Linked DNA regions of Drosophila melanogaster. The protein of the gene in region 2 interacts with the protein of the main gene of each other region in a pairwise test. Each region holds a gene or a part of one and is shown on either strand. Other genes may lie near its edges.

Evidence for each region.
Region 1: the proteins of CG42542 (region 2) and Epac interact in a two-hybrid assay, tested with the Drosophila melanogaster proteins (one large-scale study listed by BioGRID).

What each region holds. Positions count from the first base shown.
Region 1 is NT_033778.4:6,792,830-6,804,010, forward strand, and holds the start of Epac (exchange protein directly activated by cAMP), read right to left. Parts: upstream 6,113-11,181; 5' UTR 5,941-6,112; intron 4,584-5,940; 5' UTR 4,112-4,583; coding exon 4,077-4,111; intron 1-4,076.
Region 2 is NT_033777.3:15,192,228-15,206,330, reverse strand, and holds CG42542 (uncharacterized protein), read right to left. Parts: upstream 9,734-14,103; 5' UTR 9,694-9,733; intron 9,390-9,693; exon of another isoform or gene 9,034-9,389; intron 7,467-9,033; 5' UTR 7,361-7,466; coding exon 7,181-7,360; intron 7,118-7,180; coding exon 6,827-7,117; intron 6,762-6,826; coding exon 6,621-6,761; intron 5,768-6,620; exon of another isoform or gene 5,688-5,767; coding exon of another isoform or gene 5,646-5,687; coding exon 5,106-5,645; intron 4,308-5,105; coding exon 4,128-4,307; intron 4,066-4,127; coding exon 3,886-4,065; 3' UTR 3,354-3,885; downstream 1-3,353. Other genes in the region: Spn88Ea (serpin 88Ea), read left to right, coding at 1,795-2,781, 2,842-3,138; Kpc1 (Kip1 ubiquitination-promoting complex subunit 1), read left to right, coding at 10,305-10,468, 10,527-10,773, 10,919-11,064, 11,126-11,866, 11,931-12,213, 12,272-12,587, 12,660-13,069, 13,150-13,263 and 2 more.

The DNA.
Region 1 (11,181 bases), on a different chromosome or scaffold from region 2:
AGTGGTGTATAATATTTGTTAAAGGTGGAAAGTTTGAACGAAGTTTTTTCCGTATAAACATCGAAATCACGGAAACTTTAAAGATCACGCTTCTCCCTAATCACTTCAATAACAAATGCAATCTGGAAAACAGTATATGGTTGCAGTATCAGCACTTCTCTCGCACTCCCTTTACAGGGTAAGAGGTATGGAATAGTCGAGACACTGAAATATTGTTTCTATAAAGTTCTTATTATATCTGACATTTGACCTTGTATCTGATAGTGGATTATCTCGTTCATAGCATTCTCTCTATATGTTATAAAAAATAAATAAGTACGCTTGTCATGCAGCTTTCATTTCGGCTACTGATTAAGTTTATTGTTAAATACTAACATTCTGCATTAAGGTTACCAGGAAGATTTACCTAGCTTATCACAACGAATAACAAATTATCAAAGAGGACAATTATAAAACAAAGCAAAATGCTCCTTTGAAATAACAAAAGTAAAAAATTAATACGTGTAAAGGACTCTGAGAAATGAGTCGTTTCTGAACTCAAAACAACCGAACAATAGACTGCAATAAGGAAAGAAGAAACCAAAAAAAAAAGAACACGAAGAATAACGAGTATTTTGCATTTATAATTTACTGACTCTATGAAAAGCACTTCACGTGGATTATTCTATTTTTGGATCTACTTTTGGAAGGCCATAAACTGAATAAAAATGAGGAGAAATGGCAAAGCAAAGTATTAGTTCAACAATGAACTCAAATTAAAAATTCCAGTGTCATTTGTGCTCGGTTTGTGCGCGCATTAAGTATGCAAATTATATTTTTTGCCTGTCTGTGTGCAAGTCAATTGAAAAATGAATAAATAAGTATAAGAGTTTCCGGGCAAGAATCTGCAGGAAACGGAAGTCCGCCCAGAATAATGAGAAGAAGGGCAGGGAAATGGCGAAGCAATGAGAGTGAAGCGTCAACTAATTGCATTTGAGAAAAAGTTAGCTGTCAGATCTAATAAGGAGTTCTCAAATTCAGGAAGTGCAAGTAAGTTAATTTTAAATAATAAAAATTAAATCACCTTGCTTTAAAAAAAAAATAAAGTTTTTCCCCCTAGGAAAACAATACAAATCGCGCTATAAATAATGTTTTTACATGTCTAACAGACAACAAATTGCGCCTTGCTGCCATGCGGCATGTTACCAAAAGTTTTAAACAATTTTCAGGCGAGCTCCCGCCCACCATAAATCCCCCAATGCCGCCCACACTGGAGACCCCACCCAACTTTCGCCTAATTAAAAATTCCATAAAACTCAGACGGAGCGGGTGCGTCCGCAGGAAGGGCTGACCTGGGCAGACAAAGGCAGCTTGCAGTCAGGAATAGATCCCAAGCTTGCCCCTGGCCGGGCATCATCTGCATCGAGGGCTACTTTTGCAGCGAGGCGTCTACTTTTTTGGCGCAGCCTGCGAACAACTTTCATCCGGCTCCTGAAGGTGAACTGTCTTGCCGGGCTCATGCATAATTCATTCGCCAGTAGAAGCGGCAATTTCGGGAACCGAGTGCCGAGAAGGGGGGCCACTAACCGTTTCTGGGTTTGTCGTTAACCAAACAGCCAGGTGGCTGTTGGTGGGCGAAAGGCGAAGGACGAAGGGAGTGATCCAAAGAGCCGGAAGCGCGTTGGGACACATCCTAGGCAGCCAGCTCGTTGTTTATTATAATGGTTTTTGCGGTTTTTAGGCACACGCCCGAAAGTTTAGTTTCGGAATTTTGTAATTGGCGTGCCGGCGATTCGTCAGCCTTAAAGCTGCGGGGAAGGGTGGCCTCCTCGCACACATTAAAGCTGCTTTGGCACACGTGGCGTATGATAAATGTGCGGCGGCACTTGTAAGTAAGACGATTGTTCCTCCGCCGGGAAGGGGAAGCCATCAATATCAATTGCTGTCTGCTGGCTTTGCCACTTCACGCCTTACGTTCTGCGATTACCTTGCCTCCTTCCAAGGATTCTCCGATGGCATGCACCGAGTGCTCCCTCGTCCTTTATCTCCAGGTGCGCTTAAGCCCAGATCGCTCTTGATAAGCCGAATTACCAGTCAGCATGACGTGCCCTTCTTGGCTGTGCCATTAATTCTGTCCAAATTAAATCGTTTATTTTGTCTTCGCTCCCTACTTTAGTACGAGGCCATTTGTATTAGGTCCATAAGAAGGAGCAGCCGAAGAGCTGTGAAAGAAATCTGGATCTGCATACTGCACCCTGGCATCCTGGCACCCTTGCGCTACTAGGCCCTTTCTCTTTGGGCGGGGCAAACAAAAGGCAGCGGTCTGCAAATGTTTGCCCAGGCACAAGGCAAACAGTTTGCTTTAAGCCCTTGCCACTTGACCTTTCTTTTTTCCCGCTGCCGCGCACAGTCACATGAGTGCCCGCTGACCCCTGACCCCTCATGCTTTAGTGCGAGTGCGGCAGAAGCGTTTAAGCGTTGACAGAGCGTGAAATTTGAAGAGATTGTCCTCTGATTGATGGTGTGTGTGCGCGGCGGTTAGGGGCGGGCCGGTATGAGGCGGAGGCACGCCCCATTCGGATAACACCAATGAAATATAAGGCCACTCTGCAATAATAGAGTGTGCCGCACAACTGAGCAGTCGGTGGGGACAGGCGGGGCTAATAATGGTAATGGTAATGGTGGCACTCGTCCAGCGATGCCCCAGCTGAAATCCAACAAATTGCATCAAGTGGTTGCTGGGAAGAATGTGTGCTCGATTCCCGGCCATTTACGGTTGGGCAAATCGATTTAGACACTTTGAAAAACAATTTTGATCTCTGGTCAATGTTTGATTAGCTCGAATCAAGTTCAACTTAAGCTTAAGTACTGCGCACACACTAAAATAAATTTGGTTATTCCGTAATTGTATATAAATATTTTACACGCTAAATGCTGACTATTCTGTTGATTGATGCAATAGTAAATGCTTTAGAATGCTGACTATTCTGTTGACTGTTGCAATAGTAAATGCTTTAGAAATAGCATGTCATCAGGAGAGATACTCCATCTCACATATGAGCTTTTTCATTAATTTAGATAAGGGTAATGTTATTATGTTGGCTGTGAAAAGATAAATACTGTGGTGTCCAGATAAAATGAAACCGCTCTCTTAAATGGAAAGTATAAAGTCTGACATCAACTAAAAAAAAAAAACAATAGTCCCGTGCCTCTGTTTTATTCCACTAAAATAATGTTTGCACAAGACTAAACTCCATCCAATTGCAAAGCACATATTTACGTAAAAAATGTATGTGCATTAAAACCTCTGAAATGCGGAGCTTTCAGCAGAAATATATATATTTTCAATTAAATTATAGTATTTTTATACTTTTACAGCGGTTTAATTATTATTTTTGCACGACAGAAAACACTTTTCAGGCATAGCTCATGAAATGAATGGTAAATTACTTTAATGCTTTATCATAATATAAATTGTATTTTAAGAGTAGTATCATTAAATGGGTTGGTTTATTTATAGCGAACTACAATTACATTTATTTTGCATTTCAATTCACAAGAAAGATATGAATGTCATGATTAAAGTCCTGTTTTTATTTTCCTTTGTTCGGTGTCCAAATCAGGAATGATGAAATAATTGCTGTGCAGAAGGCGGCTCATTGAGTTACGGAGAATTGATATCGAGATTTAATAAAGCGGATAATTCGTGGCAGGCCGTGTCCACAAAGTGGATGGATTGGCCATTTGCCAGCCATCAAGGATGGAGGAGGATGGGGCACCCCGATGTTGGTTCTTGACAAATGAATGTCGAGCATGACGGCAACATTTTAAAATGTTTCGCTTCTCGTTCTCGTTTTGTTTGTACTCCACGTCGAGCTTTTCATTCAACTTACACGTACGTCGATGTGTGAGTACGTGTCTGCTCCGGGAAAACAGAGGAAAGAAACTTGTGCACTCAGCTGGGAAATGCCTTAAATTTAAGAGAAAGCATTCCGTTTCAGCTAAGGAAACTTTTGGAGCTAAAAACTTAGAATTTAAAGAAAAGTTCCCCAAAATCGCTGCTCATTAATTGTGCAGCTCATTAAAAAATCACTTACCGTTTGTCCATTGCAGTTATCCATTCCATCGCCATGTTGAATTTTTATTTAAATCTCCCTCGCTCGATTAGTTTCGCCGTTTGACACAAGTTATGATACAAGTTATGAACAGCACATTCCACAAACACCAAACCAAATAGTTGCCCCAACTTTGAGCAGAGCACATAAATCGAGGCGGAGCGGCTCCAAAGTGGTGCAAATTAATTGCCCGTTGCGGCCCAGGAAAGCGAAATCAAAATACCGAGTAATGGCGGCGCTCGCACCCAGTTTGCAGTCACCTCAATCCGCGATGTGGCCGTCAATCTGCGATTCCCTTTGAATACGACATGCCAGGTGGCTCGGCCCAGCGAGGCACTCGAAATCCGCTTTTGGGAGCGTTGGAGCGAGCTCCTTTCGAGTTGGAGCCAGGGGTAAGTGGACGTAGCTCGTTGATTAGGCGAAAGTTTGGAAATGGATTTCAGTTTGAGCTCCCGTTTGGCTGGCGACGAGGATTTCGATACCGAGCAGCTGCAAAGTTAAATTGGGCGAATGTGAGTCTAAATTCACTATACAGCAGTCGTAAGTGTAAGCTAGCCTTGGGATGTCGGACTCTAATATAATTTATATAAAATGCCAGCAGCAGATGTAAAAGTTTCCCTCTTTCCGATTTTTTCAGCCACATAACTAATGTGAATTGCTATTGTTGGACTTGCCAAAAAGGGTTTTCCCAACTGCTGATAGCTGCCCAGAAGGCCCCACTGCGTCAGTGTGTGTGTGCTTGTGTGTGCTTGTGGGTATCTGTGTCGCCAACAAAAGCAAATGTTATGAATAAGCTTTGATGCCTGCTCGGCCGGCGAGGGGGTGTTGTGGTGCAGGAGAGCGGTGAGGGCGGAGCACCAACAAACTGTTGGCGCACAAATCTAACAATAGATTTCCAGATAACAATAGATTACTCCACACACACGGCGTATACTTAATGCGCTGTCAATGGGCATTCTAATTTCCCAGTATGCCCAAATCCAGATCGTATGGCATGCGAAGGCACGATCTAACCGCGAATTCGTTACCGAACTCCATGTTTACCCATGCGCTGCACTATCTGTATCTGTACCGCAAACGAATGCGTATTTTGTTCTGCGTCAATGGGAAAAAACATAATTTATACCACCCCATCAGAAGTGCAGTGGCTTTCGTCAGCGAAATGGAACTGCAGGCGGAACAAGTGTTCGAGTGACGGCTCAAAAGGAAAGACATCGCGAAGGACCATCAGCTCGCATATGAATAATTAAGTATTCGCCATCGTGGCCAGCCCGCGAAGGCGCCCGAATGTATGCCACGTTTTCTGACGTGTCGTTCGCTCGCTGGCTGGCTCCACGTACATAAATGGCGACAAAAGTCCCGGGGGCGATAAGACTGATATTGGCGATATTCCGAGTGGACGACTCGATAAGCGGCCACTTTCGAACGAGTTGTCCATCCTGCCAGCAAATGCAATTAGTGTCCGGAGTGGCGGTTAGGGAATTGAATTGAACAAGCTTTGAAATCGCCCTGGAAACAGATGTTCCATGTAATTTCCACTTTAGGGTTTCAAACTTTGTTTTAATTAAGCAACCGAGTGAAAGCAAAACTTTGAACCACAATAGATGTGATTTAACTGCCCACTGCAGCCGTTGCCAAACGGAAAACTTAGCCATTTAGCTTGGTCATGTGGCGAAGAAACATCATGAATCGAATACTCACGCATCCTCTGAACGGAGAAAAGGATCAGAAGATGCAAGAGTAACAGAGATCCCGCAGCAGAATTCGATATTTTAAAGTCCTTCTTGTTGGCAAACACTTTTTGGCACGGAAAATGAACTTTTAGTTTCGAACCCACGCGACATACCGAAATCCAGCGAATACCTGAAATCGAACCGACTTCAAACGAATATTTAAATGAACCACTTGCTAACGGCTTTCAAGCACTTGGTATATACAGTTCTTGGGCAAACATTTCAGTTCTCGACCTCCGCTGAAGCGCTATCGCGTCCGATTCATTTGGTAGTCGCGTCGCAACTGCTCGGCCGCCTTCCATTTTCCGACTTCCGAGCGGCGCTCTTCACCACGCTCCTGTCCTGCGCCTCGCAGGTGGGTTTCCCGGCGGAGATTGGGGGTCGTGGTGGGTTGTTGGAAGTTACTCATTGCCGATGACTGCAGTGTTGACGGCTGCGGTGCGGTACTTTTGGCCTTGTTCCGCCTTCCCGCCGTCCCTTTCCGTCACTCACATATTTTGGCGCGTTTTTTAGCAACAAGTTTGACAAATCTTCGGCACAGTGGGCTTACATCCAAATCGGTGTGGTCAAAATCCAAATAAAATTTGGCACACGAAAAAACGTAATTTCAAAGTAGTTCTAATTAAATACAGTTTCTTTGCTTATAGTGTTTGAAATTATACTACTTTTGTTATAATATTTATTATAATTTGAATCCCATTATTTTGTGATATGAATGGATTTCTACTATTCTTTTACGATTTTAAACTTAATATTAATTTAATTTAAATATTATTCTTATTCATTTACTGCCTACACTTATATACGATAATCAGCAAAGAGATACAATTTGTATAAAGATGGCTATAATGATATAGCATTTAACATATAAATTTATGTTCTTGTTTGATTTATTTGTTTTACTTACTTGCTTATTGCTTATTAGTATAGATTGTCTTAAGTCCTCACATGATTAGTGAGAGGTTTGGTTTTATCTTTTATATGTTAATTGCGCTGTTATGTTACTGTTACTGCATTGTATGGATTCATCGCTTCTAAATAAATAAATATAAAAAAAAAAAAAATATAGATTGTGTATTGGGCTTTAAAGATGAAAAGTTAATCGAATCTGATATGTTGTATTACGAATAATATTGCTTGCCTAGTCTACTTGAAATAACAATTTGTTTTGACTCTATTCACTCGAATGTTTAGCAACATTTGCTGCTCGCTCTCCTATTCTACGTGCTCCACAACAAACTGTTGAGCGTTATTTTGGTGAGTCGTCGCAGTTGACCAGCTCTTCAACAGGCACTTGTCCGTCCGCTCGGCCGTCGGGCGAACAGCGGACAACCCCGCACCGCGCCCCGGGCGGAACTGCCTCACACCCTCGCCTGAAAGTGCACATAAAATGGAATCGCAATGCGAAACAATCAACATGTCAATTAAATAATGCACACCAGCAGCGGACACGAAACAACGGACAGAATTTACGGAGCGAGTGCGTGAACACCCGGACTTTTGGTCACTTGGACACTTGGACATTCACTGACGGCTTGTCACATTCAGCTAATGAATCAACGGCGATTCAGTCGTGTTCGCTCCTGAAAAGGTGCGAAAATGCAAAGCTTTCCTTTTGTTTTCCACCTTTCCCAGAGCCGCTGTTGTTGTGGTCGCCACCACAATATTTACGGCACTCTCGAGTGCCTTTATTTCCGCATGAATCATTCCCAGTTTCGGTTCCAGCTCCACAGGCTGCCCCAGCGCATATAAATTCTTGGCTTTTTCCCCCAGCTGTTAATGCACAGAAAGAAAAATAGTTAAGGTGGATCGTAGTCTGGTATTCCTAGATAGGTATTTCATTATACACAAACGGGTGTAGCATAGGATAAGTGCAAAGATGAATTACTTCTACTAATATAATTAGACATAATTAACAATAACGGTATAGCACTAAATAGAACTGACGTAATAAAAGTGGAAGACTACTTTCCCTGTGTTGCAGGGTTTTTTTTTTTTTTTGGTTTTTCATGGGGTCTGCCTGTCGCATTTTTTATGAGCCTCCCCCATGTTGACAGGACCACCATAGACATTTTTTCGGGCTTGCCAATGCGGAATGAAATTCCAAGAATTTAACGGCCGCTTTGCCTGCTGAATATGTCATCACATGGCGTTGAATCCTGCTCCACCAGACACAACACAACGACCCGGCGGTAATTATGATAAATGCGATCTTAATAAACTCGGCTGGTGGGCACGGCTGGCTTTGAAGGCCTTCATGGCCAAGTGCGGGCTCATCATGGCCGGTCCTAATGCATTTTCTTTTCATCATCAACGCATGTGGCACCTGGTCTAATGGCGCTTCCTGCCACCCTGCCTGTGGCCCATTAGCAGAAAATGCTGTTGTACATTGATCGACTCGTCGTCAGCTAGTCGTTGTTGTCGAAGTCCTTGTCCAGGACTTTGGCTCACCATCCTCAGCCAGTCGCTTCAAAAGTCAGTCACTGGTGCCGTCGGAACGTGTTTACGACCTGATTGCACTTACCCACCCACCTGCTGATGTCATTATTATCGCATGTGTGGCACACTGGCTCTTTAGTTGCATTAATGGTTATTCAATCAGCGTTTAACGCAAATTGCCTATTAAAGCTGCCCTGTGTTCCTGGGCTCCCTTCATGCAAATGTTTGCGTATTATGGCCATGTAATTTGATTAGCTGATAAATGAGGTAACGCCAGCGCACGTGCAATCAGGAACGCCAGCGCCACTGCCTTCATGTTTTGACTGGCTAATAAGGCACTCGCATATTCCGCAGGTTCCTGATAGATTCACCCCACATTCCCTAACCACCATGGCGGTGCACCAGTCGACCAACGTGTAGCACACATTTGGGCGCAACTCAAGCTGTTCAGTGCGAATATTGATGTTTGCCTGTCGGGGATTTTCATGTAAACGCATTGATTAATGTTCTTGAGAATCAGATGATTGGACATCCACTGCACTTATTTGATATATATATATACATATTTATATATATATATATATATTGTGTTCTTAGCTAATTAATTCGGTGCTGATAGGCAGGGTATCGATCTGTACTTTTATATTGTTAAGCCCTTAAAGACGCTCAAGCAATAACCAATCACTGATTCCAGCTTGTCAGCAGAATTTAGCTGAATAACTTAGTTTCCACAGAAAACCCCATACAAATACTGAATTAGTGGCGAGGAGATTTCCTGTCAATACCCTCCGCCATCCGGCAAATACGCGCAAATCAAAAGTTAATAGACGCGATGGAGTCTCTGTCATTTGCATTCAACCAAAAACTTGATTATCCGCGCGATTTACGGAGCGCAATTTTGGGCGGAAGGGCGGACTGGGGTATGGAGCGGGCAGACTGTGTGCTTAATGAGCTCAGTGAAATGTGTGCTTAAAATTAACTTTCAGCCAACAAACCCGTCCCTGCCAATTGTCCCCGTCGCCATCGTTCTCCTAGTCAGTCGCTTTGGCAGCTGTTGCTCAGCCAGAAGTGGTTCATGGCTCATAATTACGCATTCAATTCGACAGGCAGCTAGCTCCAAAGGATCCAGCTGGAGCTGCCCAAATCGGAGAAGGGTGGCCGGTCGCCCGAAACTGCTTTAATAATTAAGTCTCTTGAACATCAAGACATCGTGTCGGACAACAAAAGTGCCGGGGCAAACACAAGGGGAAGCAGGAGGTCCTTGGAGTGGAGCAAGCACTTCGCCGTGTGTCCGTCCACTTGGCCATGTCATCTGCCAACCAACATCCTGGGACTGCGACTGCAGCCCGCTTGGTGCGAGTAAAAACTAATTTCTCGCCTTGCTGAGCATAATTTTATGCAATTGTTTTCTGATTAAATTCCACACTGAAAGTGCCCCGGTCTGCACCCGCATGTTGCATGATGCGTGCCACTTGGCCGACTGGCATTTTCATGTGGGACAGCTTTTCGGCCGAGTTTCCGGGTGGCGGAAGCACTGGAGTTCGATTTGGACATAACTTTGCTAGCGCCTCCATCTTGCTGCACTTAAGGTTTTTATTATTTGCTGTCAGACGGCACCACGTGGCGGATACTTGATGTGCAAGTGGAACGTTAATCGCCCCATAATTGGATTAATCAACGGCCGGCAGCGGAACGCCATTAATAGGCCAAAGCCCCAGCAAACCTCACACCCGTGTGCTGGAGCCACCTTGGAGTGGCAGGTTCAATGGCGTTCGGCTTTGAGCCCTAATGGGTTCTTCGACTGGGGAAAGCGTCCCGTATCGGGTGCATTGAACGGCGCACCATCTGCCACTTCCATCGGCATTGGCCAGCACATAGCACAGAAAAAACGGAATTGGAAAACCGAAACCAATTTACATTTTGTTTACCTTTTGGCCAGCACACCTCGACGTCCATCGTATTTGCCTTCGAAAGAGATGCGCCAGTAACTGGGCAGTTCCACCTAGTATATAGGATCTATAGATCTGTTTTTTAAGCATTTCCGATTTCATTAAATTTCCATTAAAGCAAGCTAAACATATAGTTTTACCTCGGAATGGATATATAGAACCGTTCTCAACTTATTTCCGATTTTACTAAACTTTACTAAAGCAAGCTGAACCTTATGTCACAAGATTTTCATACTCCTCCCTTATAATTTTTGATGGAGCTGCGCTCGAATGGGGTGCATTGGCTCCATTCTATTCTTATCATTAGATCAAATAAATGTAATTTAAGATTTCCCATAAAGATATCCCTTCAGCGCCAACAGATCCCACCTCCTTTAAAGCTACCTGTGCAAATATTTTCCCTTACCAGACTCACCACCTCTGGTTTTTTGTGCCTTCTCCGACTTTGAATGGCTGGAATTTATCGCTTAACTCCGCACAGCAGCTGAATGGTGTGGCATGGGGCTTGGGGATGCCATGGGGATGGGATAGAAAAGGCGTTGAAACTGAGTGTGTAAGTTTTAATTTTATTTTCTCACTTCATTTGGAGGGTTTGCCTTGGCTCCGCTTTGCTGGCGACTACAACACTTTACATACATTTGCATAAGCACTCCGGCAGTTTAAGCAAGCTGTCCGGGAAGTTAATAAACAGGATTCGCCTTTTGCTCAGTTGCTTGTGGATGGCCAATCCGGGAGGAGCTGCCGCATTAACGCCATCTAGCAGGGAGTTAAGTTTTCTGGCTTCTTCTGGGCTCCTTTGCGACTGGAATCTGATTGCGGATCGCGTCCAGGTGTGACGCCGGTGCTGTCAGACGCCTGATTATTTGTGGCTTATTGCGCTAATGCGAAGCTTATCGCATGAAAATCGCATTAACATCATTTGCAAGACGCCACAACGTCCTTGGCCCTCCCAGCTACCGCCCACCT
Region 2 (14,103 bases):
CCAGTTGTGTCTGTCCCAATTTGTTCAACTCCCCGGCAATTGTGACGATCATTAAGCGAACGAATCGGGTTGAAATTAAAGCGTTGTCTATTATTGTAACACTAATCAGCATGCAAATGATTGCACAATTACACATACATACGTAGATATATGTTTACGCATATAGGGATTTGAATATACATACATATGTACATATATCAGGCACGCATTTTAAATGGGCCAGTGTATTTTCGCTGTTTATAACTTTTTGCCACTATAGCCTTGATTTGATTGATCTCTGAAGTGCGATCCCATAATGACCTCCAATTTAATAGGTTTTTCACTTGATGACTTTAAAGAAAAATATTGTTTTGAGTGACACATAGCTCTGCGTTTATAAATAAAACGGGGAAAACACTGAAATCGGAATGAAAATATTTATTTAATTTTGTTGTGCAAAAATAAATAATTTTGCCTTAGTCACTCATATGACATGATTAAAAAGTAAATCGCATTTGTCCAAGAAATTTGAATTCTACTTATATTTATTTACTAAGAAATTTCAAAGGAAGTGCTTGTGTTTTTGACAAAGCAATTAATCCAAGTTCAATGCAGCTTAATTTTGGCTGACATGTCCATTTCCACCTGTCAGTCAAAAAACTGGTTGTTCAATATTTTTTGGATTCGCCCAAAAAAAACCCAGCAAAACGCACAAAAAACGACGCGCATGCGCAGAAACAGCGTTACGTCTATGGGGTAAAAAAAAAAAAATAAAAGACCCAGCCGAAAGCAATTACAAAATCGCCCATACAGGGTCAACAATGAGCATTCATACGCGTTGAAATACGTTTATGAATCATATACTATGTATATTGGTAACTGCCGGTGGTATCCGCAACCGGTTATCGAAAATGTTAATTTTGGGTTTTTTATTTTCACACAACAAAGCGCTTTTCACTGCAGTCACGCAACGGATGACTTCGTCATCGCTCAGCTGCTGAAAGCAAAACTGGAGCTATGGTCATCACAAAGCTCAAGCTCCCAAACCGATCCCCGATCCGATCCGATCTGTGGGCGCTCCTTCATGCTCCGATGGATGCATGTGGGAATGGCTGATGTATGGATACATTATGTTCGGATTGCGAATTTCGAGTGCAGAGCAGCGGAAACTTTCACTTTTTTTTAATGTCGCCTCTGCGGAGATGTTGCAACTGTCGTCTGCAAATAGCTGACCACTCCATGGACTGGAAAAAGCTTTTTGGTGAATCAGCCTAAAGCGATCTTTAACGACCTCAAATCGGTTCTATATTTTCTAAAAAGTTTCAATCACAAATCATCTAAGCTAAGTCTATAAAATATTTCGTGATTGTTTACAACAATTCTGCAGTAGTCGGTTTATGTAACTAGAAAACCCTAATGACTTGAAGTTTGGCAAACTAAGTGAATATTAAGTACGTAATTAGCTGGGACTTGCAGTTCTAATTTAACTACTCCCATAATTAGTAGTGACTTTACACAGAAATCACTTTGGGGAATTTTGTCAATATTTCTGGGAGATTCATAAATTTTTCTGGCCTGAGTGCGCTTTAAATGCTTAGTTGTCTAATAAATTAGATGAGAAATTATACCAGGATTCAATGCCGGTCACGTATTCCACACAAATCACACACTCAAAAATAAAATGGTATACAAGGTCACATATTTAGGGGTCTTGTGCTTTTCGGTTACCCATTTCAATCACATGTGCTTGCAGCCGTTAAAATAATTGCTATTTTAACTTAAATCATGTTCCAATTTTTAGCAGGCTTCCACATCATGCACATCCTCAGCATATCTCTAATGGCGGTCCTGCCGGCCATCGCCTTAGCCGGTCTCTGTGGGGTTGAGCCCGATGCGGGTTTGTTGGATCAGCGGCTGAACCTCTATAAGGGCCAACAGAACTTTGCCGTGTCCATGCTGAACGTGATTCGGCAGAGCACTCCCAATGAGAACGTCTTCTTCTCGCCGTACAGCACGTATCATGCCCTGCTCCTCGCCTATTTCGGATCCTCTGGTGACACGGAGAAGGAGTTGGCCAAGGTGCTGCATCTGGATTGGGCCGACTCGAAGGAGGTGGTGCGCAGTGCCTATATTCTGGAGAAGATGAACCGTAAGGAGCGGCAGAGCAAAATGCCTCTCGAGTTCTCCTCAGCCGATCGCATATTCTTCGCCAATGATCTGCATGTGACCGAATGCGCAAGGAATCGTCTGGCCGAGGAGGTGCAGCAGATCGACTTCAAGAGCCAGACGGAGGAGTCGCGCAAGCAAATCAACGATTGGATTGCCAAGCAGACGCACGATCAAATCCGCAATATGCTCAGTGCCGATGAAATCACTCCGCGCACTCGTTTGGTCCTGGCCAACGCCGCCTATCTGAAGGGTCAGTGGCTCAGTCAGTTCAAGACGGAGAAGACGGTGCCCATGCCCTTCTACACGTCTCCGTCGAACTACTCTCTCGTGTCCATGATGCAACAGAAGGGCACCTTCTTACTGAATGTCGACGAACAGCTCCGCGCCCACGTGCTTCAGCTGCCCTATCGCACCGTCTTTGAGTCTCAGGAGAAGGAGGACAGCTCGCCGGATGAGAACTCGGACATCTCCATGGTGCTCATCTTGCCGCCATTTAACAGTAATTCCCTCGAAGATGTGCTCTCCCGGTTGAATGCCGACAGTCTGGATGATTCGTTGAAGCAGGCAATGCCCCGCGAAATCGAAGTTTCGCTGCCCAAGTTTGAGTTTGAACAGCGCCTGGAACTTAATCCTGTAAGTTTAGACTTTTTGATTCCAAAGCTTGATTTAGTTTTGACCTGCTCCATTCCTTAGATCCTTGCCAAAATGGGAGTTAGCAAAATGTTCGATGAGTCTGTCGCTACCTTCGATGATCTGACCTCCGAGACGATTTCCATCGGTGACTCCAAGCACGTGGCCAAGATCAAGGTGGACGAGGAGGGTAGCACTGCGGCGGCGGCCACAGTCCTCTTCACCTACCGCTCGGCCAGGCCCGTGGAGCCGGCCAAGTTTGAGTGCAACCATCCGTTCCTGTTCGTCATCTACGACCGCACTTCCAGGTCGATCCTATTTACGGGCATCTATCGCGATCCCAAAACAATAAAGCAGTAAAAGATGGCGGGCTTTAAGGTGCTGCAACTTTGCAAGTAATCTAACCAAATTATTTTTCGACTGTAAAACACGATGTAAACTTTAAAAACAAACTTTAACCATAATAAATTATGCCTATAACAAGAAACCTAATGATTTTATTCATCACTCATACAGGTTCTTAAATTTAAAAGAAAGAACAAGATTTATCCCGCCCATTAAGCGCACTTTAAAATCTTTGTTTTGCTCAATTTAATTAGTTTTTCATACAAAATTCGCATAAATAATCAAATCTACAAAGTTTCATTTTGGTTGTTTCCATTAAGTAAACACGGCTACGTAAACAAATATGCGAATAAGGATCTGCGTTATGAAGGAAAGGATACAACTCAGAGGAGCGTGGGCATCGCGATGGCTCTACACGCGTATGTACAATCATCTTTAATACTTAACACGAAACCGAAACTAAACAAACAAATTAAAGCGATACTAGACAATTGGAAAACAAAAGAATTAATTGTGTGAACTAAAAATGTATGTCATGGCCGAAGCGGAAAGCACTGAAGGCACTTTTGTTTTGGATGTTTGGCAAGAAGAAAGCTACGTTAAAAACATCAACGCATTTCTAGTTTTAAACTAGTTCAACACGATCCTTGCCTGATGCTCCTCGAAGAAAAGTGGGGTTTATCAGGTAGTAACTAAAACTAAATCTTCATAATATTGTGGGGTCGTCAGCGGGCAATCTCGATTGGAGTATAAAGGCTTCGCCTAAATGTCATCCGGAGGTATGGCGACAGCGTAGATGGCGAATCCGATGAACACAATGCCACCCACAATGGTGACAGTGCGCACTGAGATTTTGGAAGCCACGAGACGACCACCAATCACAGCCAGGCCGGTGCAGATGCAGTGGCCAATAATACCGCCAGCGATAACGCCGTAAACGTCCTGCAACGGATAATAGCTTCATGTACCAAATCATTCCGGTTATTTTTATCCAAAGTGCTCACCTTGCTAGCGGCGAGAATAATGGTGGTCAGTTGGGAGCGATCGCCCCACTCGGCCAGGAACGTCATTGTGAAGGCCTGGGCCAGGATGCGCATGGTGAAGTAGGTGGCACCCCGTTTCTGTGGACGACGACGACCGCTCTCGGCGTCATTCACCAGCGCCGCGTTCACATCACGATCCAGCTGTAAAGGAAGATGGGGATTTTTAAGGATCAGTATGCGAACAGCAGACAGACAAAAAAGATTCGATGAAAATGTGCGCAAACAAAAGGATATAAGACAGCAAATTAAAAATACATGTAAATACTTTTGAACCAGAAAACTCGGATACCACCGCTTTTCCTTCTTAATAAACCAAAAATATAAACTAAAATCAAAAATCAAGAAACGATCACTTCATCATAACAACATGCAGAGAGAAAAATCGGGTGAGATGTGTGCGCTTCGAATGTAATTTAAACGAGACTAATGGGTAATAAAATACCGAGGCGACAAAACCAAATGCCAGATGACTTAGAGTTAAAAAATAATTGATGCTTGTGTTTTTCGACTGTAGTGTCACTGTTTTATGAGTGTTTTTTGTTTTTTTTTTTTGGTAAAAAGCAAGTGAAACGTATATATGATTAGCTAACAACGAAAGTTAGCGGTTGTCAGTTATATAGATTCTCATTCCGATTACAATTTCTAGAAATAAAACTGATTAAATCTATTAATATAGGTTACTCTTTTTTTAGCCTCTCACAGCACTCAGATAAATTTAGCTTAGCTCTACAACTCTTTGGAAGTCTTGAGATTTGAAGTTAATTAATCATTCTTTAATCTAAATGATATGACTTTAGGGATCATAGTCCATTCGACAATCTCCATCTAAGTGTGTAGCGTTAATACAAAAACCAAAAATTCAATCAATTCCAATTTCGAAAAACGTAATCGAATGGGAACCGGAAGCGGGACAATCGCAAATACGGTCTATGTCCTAACCCGTGCTTTGAGAGCGCCATTCACCGGTCCGGATTCTCCGTTTAGGCTGCCATTGAGACTGTGCATGCTATCGTGTCCGGCCAGCGGAGCACGTGGCTCCGAGGCGCCACCTACGGACGGGTCGGTGGGATGGCCAGCCAGCTGGACATCTACGGTGGCGGTGGAGGCGGCAATAGAGTTGGTTTGTTCGGTCTGGTTCGATGAGGCCGCCGAGTGGGCCGGGCTGCTGGGGAAGGTCTTTAACTTGAGCTGCTCGACAATGCGGCCGCCCTCCTTGAGGAACACCTCCGATTCGTGCTGATCCCGGTCGTCGTCATCGTTGCCAGTTTTATCACAGCTATTTTGCTTACTATTATTGTTATTGAGATGATTGCGCTGTTTCCGCTGGCGATGCTGCATGTCCGTGGTGGAACCTGCCGCCGTGGAAATGGAGTTGCGGCCATGGATAAGCGCCTGTTCGCTGGCATCCTCCTTGTCCGAGTTGCTATTCTTTCGCTTGCCCTCCGCGTCCTCGTACTTGCGGCTGGCCTTGCGCAGTAACTGCGCTTGGAGCGTGGCACAAATCAAAGTTGAGTGCAACATATATAGTTTATGTTTGTTTCGGTAACATTTTGAGGGGCAACGTTATTATCGAATTGTTTTAATTTCGTGTTGCATAAAGGAAAAACAATTAAAAATTTGCATTAGCTAGAAATTCGATTGGCAGAAATTTTGATTTTGATTAATATTCTGGTGGAGTTCTCGTTTGCCAAAAAGCTTTTCCATTTCAAACGATTTTCTGGTTTAGTACGAATTTGCTTTGATCAATAAACTTTTGAAACTCGCTTGTATTTGATATGCGCAAATCGTGCAATTAGTCACATGGTCATAGATGTGTGGTAAATGTTTGTATGTGAATTTCGAATGTTTGATTCAAGACAAATCAAAACCAAAGATATTCGGAAGCTATAACTGAGAGAGTATGTGGCCATACAGGTGTTTCACTGACGCTATTCGGAGCGCCCATTTTTCAATCGGCTTGGGTTATTTAGTTAAGGTAACCATGGATTTTTGTTAGGGGCTAACAAAGATTCTTAATTAGCATGCAATCAAGGTGTAATTACAATTATGAAAAGCTTAGAGTTCGTGTCTGATTAGTAATTGTTTGGTTCTTATTGTTCATGGCTCTCGTGTCAGGCAAATAAAATGGTGTTTAATTTTTTAATATAAGGTAAGAGTGAAAACCAAAGCGTGGCATATGAAGTGATTGCTTTGGCGTGGAATCAATAATTTGTTTTGTTTTTCTTTTTTTTTTGCTCTACATTTTGCCAGTCGTTATGGTTATTATAATAGTAAAACAAAAAATTAAGCGCAGATATTAACAGAAGCAGTAAAAATAACTAATTACTATAATATTGCAGCAACGAGGTGCTGCAGAAGTGCGTCACTAATTGAAACAAAGTTAGGATCTATAGAAACTACTGCAACATCTAGCACCACTACTATATACATATGCATCCATCGAAGGCGACTCACCTCATCCTCGCGCTTGCGCAGATCAGTTTGCACCTCTTCCAGTTCTTCCTGAGCGTCGGTTGGTTTCATTTTGTAGCCGTCGTACAGCATTTTTAAACCAAATATTAAAAATAATGCAGTTGAGATATAATACGTATAAATCTGTAGGTAATATAAAGTTGCATTAGTTTGTAAAGTTATCTAAATTATATTTTTTCACGACCTACCTTAGGAATAAAGTTCGCTGCCATGCCAAATGCGCATGAGAGTACCGTCATTAGCGCCAAGGCGGCGATGGCACCGCCAAAGACAATCAAACGCGGATGGCGCATGGCCATTATGGCAGCGATAAAGAAAGTCTTATCCCCTAGCTCTGTTAGTAAGATAACAGAGATCGATGCGGTAAACGCATCGATAAAGGTGCCCTTCGTTTTCGGCCGGTCCGCAGCATCTTTTGGTTTCTCCGCTAAAGAACTCAGATCCGTTGGCCTATTCAAATCTCCCTGCACGTCCAAGTTCTGCAAGCATTAAAGCATATTGGTTAATAGGCTGTTAAAAAGGAGGAATTAGGTCATCCTTACGCTCTGTATTCCGGATTCAATGACCGCATTGTCCGCACTATCCGGTTGAGCTTCCGCCGCACAAATTGTGCCGAATGTGAGCACCACCATCAGGGCCAGCGCCATGTGCCATTTGGCCGAGCGCTTCAGGTATACATTGTGTCTGGTCGTTTGCCAGAAGTAGGATTGGTTTTGTGACATCTTCGCTGTCTGTGGTTAGGAACTATCGCTCCTTTATTCGCGCCGCATGCAAATCTCCTTGTTCCTCTAAACTTTAAACGTGTACGTGTCCGTTGCCCTCGACTGACTGCAAAGAAATGAAGTAGACCCGTTGAGAATCTCGCTCACATGGTTTGAAATACACGAGCCCAGCACAATGTTTATGGCTAATCGGGCAACAAGTGTTCTACGCGGCATTTGTACAAGGCAAACAGAAAATCACTCGTGTCTGTGTTTGGCCAAGTCAAAACTGGGCTCGATTTCAGTGGGGCACGAAGCTGGCGGGGAAGGTCGGAGCTAAGATAAGCGACCACTGCGACAAGTGTCGTCTGATATGGTCAATCAATGTCGCTGCCCTCGACTGAGTTGGCAACCCGTACAAATCAGTTGCCGAAACATATTCCTCCAAAGCGCACGACCATTCAATACGTCAGAGGCAAAAACACTCAACTATCGATTAGATAATGGCAAGAGAAACACATTCGGCAAACTTTGCCATTTTTTTTTTTTTTTTTGCTGAATACCAAATGCTCTACGGGGTCTACCTCTGCATATTTATACTGCTTATCTTGAAAGTCTTATGGTGCTAAATATTTGTGACTTATTTCGTTTGGATCGCAGTTCGTTATCTTAGAAATTAACCTAGAGGCGGATAAGTCTCGGGAATTATATGCAGATTAGAAAGGTTGGATGTGAGATTGGAGTAGTATTTATAAAATAAATTTATGCGTGATCATCAAAAATATTTATCTGAAACCATACCAATATTATTCTATTTAAGTACATTTCATTATCTCCACAAATTACGACACTAATAAAAGTGAACAGGACTCCTATAGATAGAGTATAGATATGGACAGATACGTGACCAGAGAAACAAGAAAAAGATGGGCAGTAATTGACTACTATGCGTATGGTCATGTTCCTAGCTTCGTATGAATATATATAGGTATACATATATGTTTACATTTTGCTATTGATGGTAGCTATGTATGTGGGCATTTTCTTTGATGTTCCATTATCATATCATAAGAAATTGCAGAGTTATTAAAAGAAAACGTATCATATCTGAGATTTAACCTGTTGGTGTTTAATGCAAATTGTATGCTTTGCTGAGATACTAATATGACTGAGTTATTTAAATATCCTGGTCGAGAAAAAACAAAGGCGGTTTAATCAAGTTACTGCCTTGTTTATAGTGAGTCAGTCCACATTGTTCTGGGGGGTATTTTTTTTTTATTGGGTTTCCTGTGCTTCCCATTTGCTTAGCAGAGATCCTCTGCCGTCGTTTGTTCGTTATATATAGTTTCATATTTCATTAACGTCATCAAAGTGGTTTTTAGCCTTTTTTTTCGATAAATAAAAGATTCAAGACGCAATAGGGGCGGTGTTAAGGCGAGAAGACCGCGAAAGCTATCATTATGTAAACACACAATATACATACTGTGAATGCTGATTCTTTGAGAGCTCAGTAGTTACGTATGTGGGTCTTATATTACTTGTAATGGAGAGAAGTGATAAGAAAACTATATATTTTGCGAGGGTGGTTTGGCGGGAATAGTTGAAGCAACTGAAACATTGTAAATAACTATTAATTAATACGTATACATACGTATTTCCAGTTCATTTTAACTGAATTCAAATTACAAACTCACACACACATTCGGAAATTCGCGTTGATTGCCGCGCAAAAAAATAAATAAGAACAAGAAACGGGTCGAGAACGGGCAGATAAATCAATTGCCTCGACTACAAACAAATATACCCATGTATAATCAGAAGTAATATTCATTTATGCCCAGATATGTACGTATGTTGTAATGGTCTTGTTTTCGAATGGTTGGCAATGATTTCTGTTTCCCTTCTATTTCTTTTCGCGAATTCTATTTTTGTAAGACACGCAACAACAACAAATAATCTTAACGGTTTCACTTCGCATCGCTGACCAGTTAGCTGTTTTATTTTCAGCGTATTTAATTGTTAATACTCTCCACGCAAAGTTATTGGCACAAGGTCAACTGTGTGATTGCTAATTTATTTATTTAACAGCCGCCATTATGAGCATTGTTTTCATTGCGTTTCACTTTTAAGCCTTTTCCCGCCAGATCTAGCTAGTTGTCGGACACCACTATCAGAAACACTCGGTCGCTGACGACAGCAAATTGTCAATTAACCGAAAGGTAACTGTACTGCTCGCAAATATCACACGTTTAAGCAGCGTAGAGTTGTTCTTTTGGTAACTCATTTGTCATGAATCAACGCCAACTTGTAATTTAATTAGCTTAACTAGCAGAGCACAGAAAACACGTCCTTACATATCGAGAAGTACTTTTCGTTTCACTCGGTGTTAGGAAGCGCTTGAAGACGAGCAGTACTGCACAACGATGTTGAATTTGAACAGCTGCTTGTTAGCGCCTTTAGAACGAGATGGAGCATACTGTACCAAAGAGCAGGATGGAAGTATTAGGGAGGAGCAAATGTGAGCGATATTTTGCGGGGTCAATACAATAGTTACGTTATAATAAATTTGTATGTATGTACACATAATATTGATTCAAATTCATAATTTGAATGACAAGGTCCACTTATTTAATACAACTATCTATATTTCAAGAAACTTGCATTAGTTTTTAAATTTTAAAATTCGGTCTATGATAACAGAATTTTGATACAGCTTGGCAACAAATTGTTACAGGTCAGATATCCAGAAAGAAAACTGTATAATATTTTGTCAAAATTCAAATTTGTTAAAAAATCATCGGCTTGTCGCGTGACCCGATACTTGCCACCGTTAAGCAGATTCACAAGGAGTGTCTGAGTTTACCATCCCTAAAGCTAAAGAATTCCTTTTTGTGACGGTCGAGCTCGGAATCGGACTCGAATTTGTGTGGCTGGAGAAAGCTGGCATTGAAATGACAGAGCCAAAATGTCGATATCAAAATTATTCGTGAAAGTATTCAACGAGGATATATTCGAGCAGGTGGACCACGATAACCTGTATTCGGATCTGGACGATGACTTGGAGGGCGCTAATTGCTCGACGGTTCCGGATCCGAGACCCGCAAAGCTCGCCGATTTATCAGTTACCAAGTAGGAGTGTCCTTAGCCGCTGAGGTTAAACTTTTCAATGGACAATCCTTTCCCTTAGGCAGATGCTCATAGTGCGAACCTGGCTAGATGACAAGTTCCAACAAATCCAGACCGACAGCAATGAAGAGATTCGGCGCCTGTACATGGAGACAGAGAGCCGCATTGGCCCGGATCTTACCATATTCGATGTGGACTATACGACTACAGTGCGGGTATCCTCGGATCGCCTAGCCCTGCGCTCCCAGGGCAGCTTCAACACGGTCCGGGCTAATTGTTGCGTGTACGGCGGTCGCTGGATGTATGAGGTAATCGCTATTACATGGAGTGGGAGGAGTAGCTAAAGATTGGGGAATGAGTGGTAGATTCGACGGTGGTTGACCACCGGTCATTGACTCGTATTGAGGAGTGTGGGTTGCTCGTGCGTACTAAGAACGTGTCATTTATATACAGATCCACCTCCACACTAAGGGCGTAATGCAGATTGGTTGGGCCTCCAACTCCTGCCAGTTTAACGAAAACAGCGGGGTGGGAGATACCAAGTCCAGCTATGGATACGATGGCAGCAAACAGCAGATCTGGCATATATCCACCAAAAAGTAAGATATCCATTTATTCAACATTGATTCAGGATTTATATGTATATAATTGCTTTCCTAGGTACGGCGACAAATGGCAGATTGGCGACGTTATTGGCGTGACTATTGACGTGGATAAGGAAGTGATCGAATATTATCGAAATGGCCGTTCCATGGGCGTGGCGTTCAACAAGTTGGAAAAGGGTCCGGGCATCTCCTTCTTCGCAGCCATCTCCTTGGGCTACACGCAGGGCATCGAGGCGAACTTTGGCAATCGTCCCTTTATGTATCCGGTATCGGGCTTCCAGCCGCTAATGGCTCGACCTATCCTTAAGCTGCAACGGGCCAACCTGCTGATGAACTACTTGGTCAACCTCGCTGGCATATTTTCCAAGTATAACGCCCAATCTGGGATGGCACCAACGAATGGCGCAGATGCTCGCGTTTCCACTAAAAAGACCGTGTACTGCATATTTGCCACCTTGCTGATTGAGAAGTTCACCAATGAGATATTTGATCCATATATCATCGAAGATGTCCTGCTCAGAAAGATCTCGAGCATGACAAATTTAGCGTCCGAGAAGGAAAACTCCTACAGCGTACTCCATGGCTTGTTATCTCTCTTCTGGAACTACATGGAAGGCGACGAGATCAAGTTTGTGTTGCGGAAGTTGGTGAACGCTTTGCTGGGTACTTTTACGCATACGATACAGGGCCTGGACTATGAGAAGCATCGCCAGGCGCTCGGAATGCTGCATTGCCTTTGCCTGCACGAACAGACCAGAAAGTATCTGCTGGAAGGAAAGCTGTTCAAAAAGCACTGGTACGGATAAAAGATAAAACTCGTGTAATCCTGAGTGTTAAATTCGAATAATTTTTTCATTTAGTCTTGCATTTTTCCTCTACATACATCCACTGGAGTTCTACATCATGGAGGAACTGCTGCCTGACAGTATGGCCTGGACGGAGGGCATCGATGGCCCCAAGGAAAAATATCTGAATGTTGTCGAGAAGGTGCGCAAAGTTACGGAGCCACTGTATACAGCGCAAAAGGATCTTCTCTGCACGCTGATGATCAACTCGGACGGATCAAGGGAAAGTCCGTCAAGCCGCTCAATATTTTTGAGCAAATTGCGTCGTTACGTAATCGATCTCAGCATGGAGCAAAGGGTAAGTGTGCCCAATGATGATTTTGCACGGTTTTAATAGATCCTTAACCTCCATGTAGCCCTTCCACGCCTTTTTCTTTATGCAATCGAGCATTCAGCATCCACTCGATGCGCCTGTGGCCCTCGCATTTGCTAGCATTCTTATTGATCAGACGCGCTCGATGTTCAAAGATGAAATGCCCACAAAGAACGTGGAGGTGAACAGCGATTATTTCATAGATGGTACCTTTGACTACATGCACTTTGATCGCGTTGGAGGTGTCTTGTCACATTTAAGAAAAGTTCATCGGGGCGACATCGATGCTAGGTTGGGATCAGCTCGAACTCAGCAAATTTATGAAGATGATAGGCAAAACTTGCGGGTCAATGAAGTGGGTATGTATGCGAAAACTTTTGTTTAAATGCTGAAGCATACAGTAAAATAATTACAACTTGTCACAATTTCAGATACTACGCTTTACCTTTTGGGCGAAAACATAAACAATGTGCCCGTAGTGGGACACACTCAGGGCGCCAATAATACAACCTACACTCATTTCCTAAATACACGACCCAATAGCAGCACCGACTCCTCGCCGGGCAACGCGGATATGGAGGCCAGCCTGTGCGAACTCCTTGATTTGTGTATCATCTTTTACTACTCGGCAGGCCACAAGTACATAGTAAAGATAGCCACGGTAAGAGACGAGATCGCAGCTCTAAATGAAGTACTTAAGGAGACGAAGTTCTACCGGGAGGATATCGAACGTAAACTTGGGGCATTGGAGCAGCATGCCAATGTCTGCATGAACGAAAATCACCAGCATGTGATGGGCGAGCTACGGTCTAAGTTCAGTCAGCGTCAGAATGTTTTTGCTGTGAGTTGATAGTTTGCCTATTGGTTATTCTTATTTAAGTAGTTTATAAGCAATTAGAATATGTTTCTTCCTATTTGCAGACACGCTCTATTGCCCTGGCAAGGAAGCAAGTTTGGCTAAGAGGAGTGGCCCTGAACAATCACAGGCGATCCCTGCTCATATGGCTACTAGAGCGAATGTTACGAACTTTGACGGTACGCAATTTTTTTTTGTAATTTTATCTTTTATTGATCTTATTCTTTCCATCCATCAGACTGCTTCAAATACGGGTTCTTTGTTCTCATTTGTACCTGAGGTGTATGTTAATACACTGCCTATTCTGCTGGACGCCGTAATGGACTTTAGTCACCATGATTTGAAAGCTCAATTCGAGGCCTCAGATGCGGAATGCAGCGTGAACGCTGCAGCAGAGTTTCTAGGCATTCACTCAGCAGATCCTCGCATTGTGCTTGCCTCATGCAAAGACTCACTGCTGCAAGCTTTGGGAACGCTCACCTGCCACAAGTCCGGAGTACGAGCTCTGGAACGTACTTCGAAGAGGTCTCAGGCTAGTCTGGTTCGTGCCTTGCTACGCCCCTATGAGAACAGAGCTTGGGGCCAGAGCAATTGGCTGCTATTGCGCTTTTGGATGGGCGAGGGATATGCCTACAAGGATTCCCGCCAGCCCTCTGTGTGGCAAGGTGGCTCGCTGCCCCTCCACCAGGGACTGTGTCGCAGTCGTTCCAGAAACGAGACGCATACAGGATTGCTGCACAATGTCGCTCCCGCTAATCCCTCAAAGCATTTTCAACGTTTAATCGGCGCCAAATTGTTGGAGGATGAGCCTTTCGCCACCGCCTTTCTGAACTCGGTGTTGAGCCAACTAAACTGGGCTTTTTCCGAATTTATTTTATTGCTGCAGGAGGTGAGTGATTATGGTTTAAGTAATACGAATTACATAAACTATATTTAACCACTATTCTTAGATACAAAACACTGCTCAGAGGCAGGAAAACACTCTTTTTGAGCCCAAGCAGCTTAAGATATGCTCCATG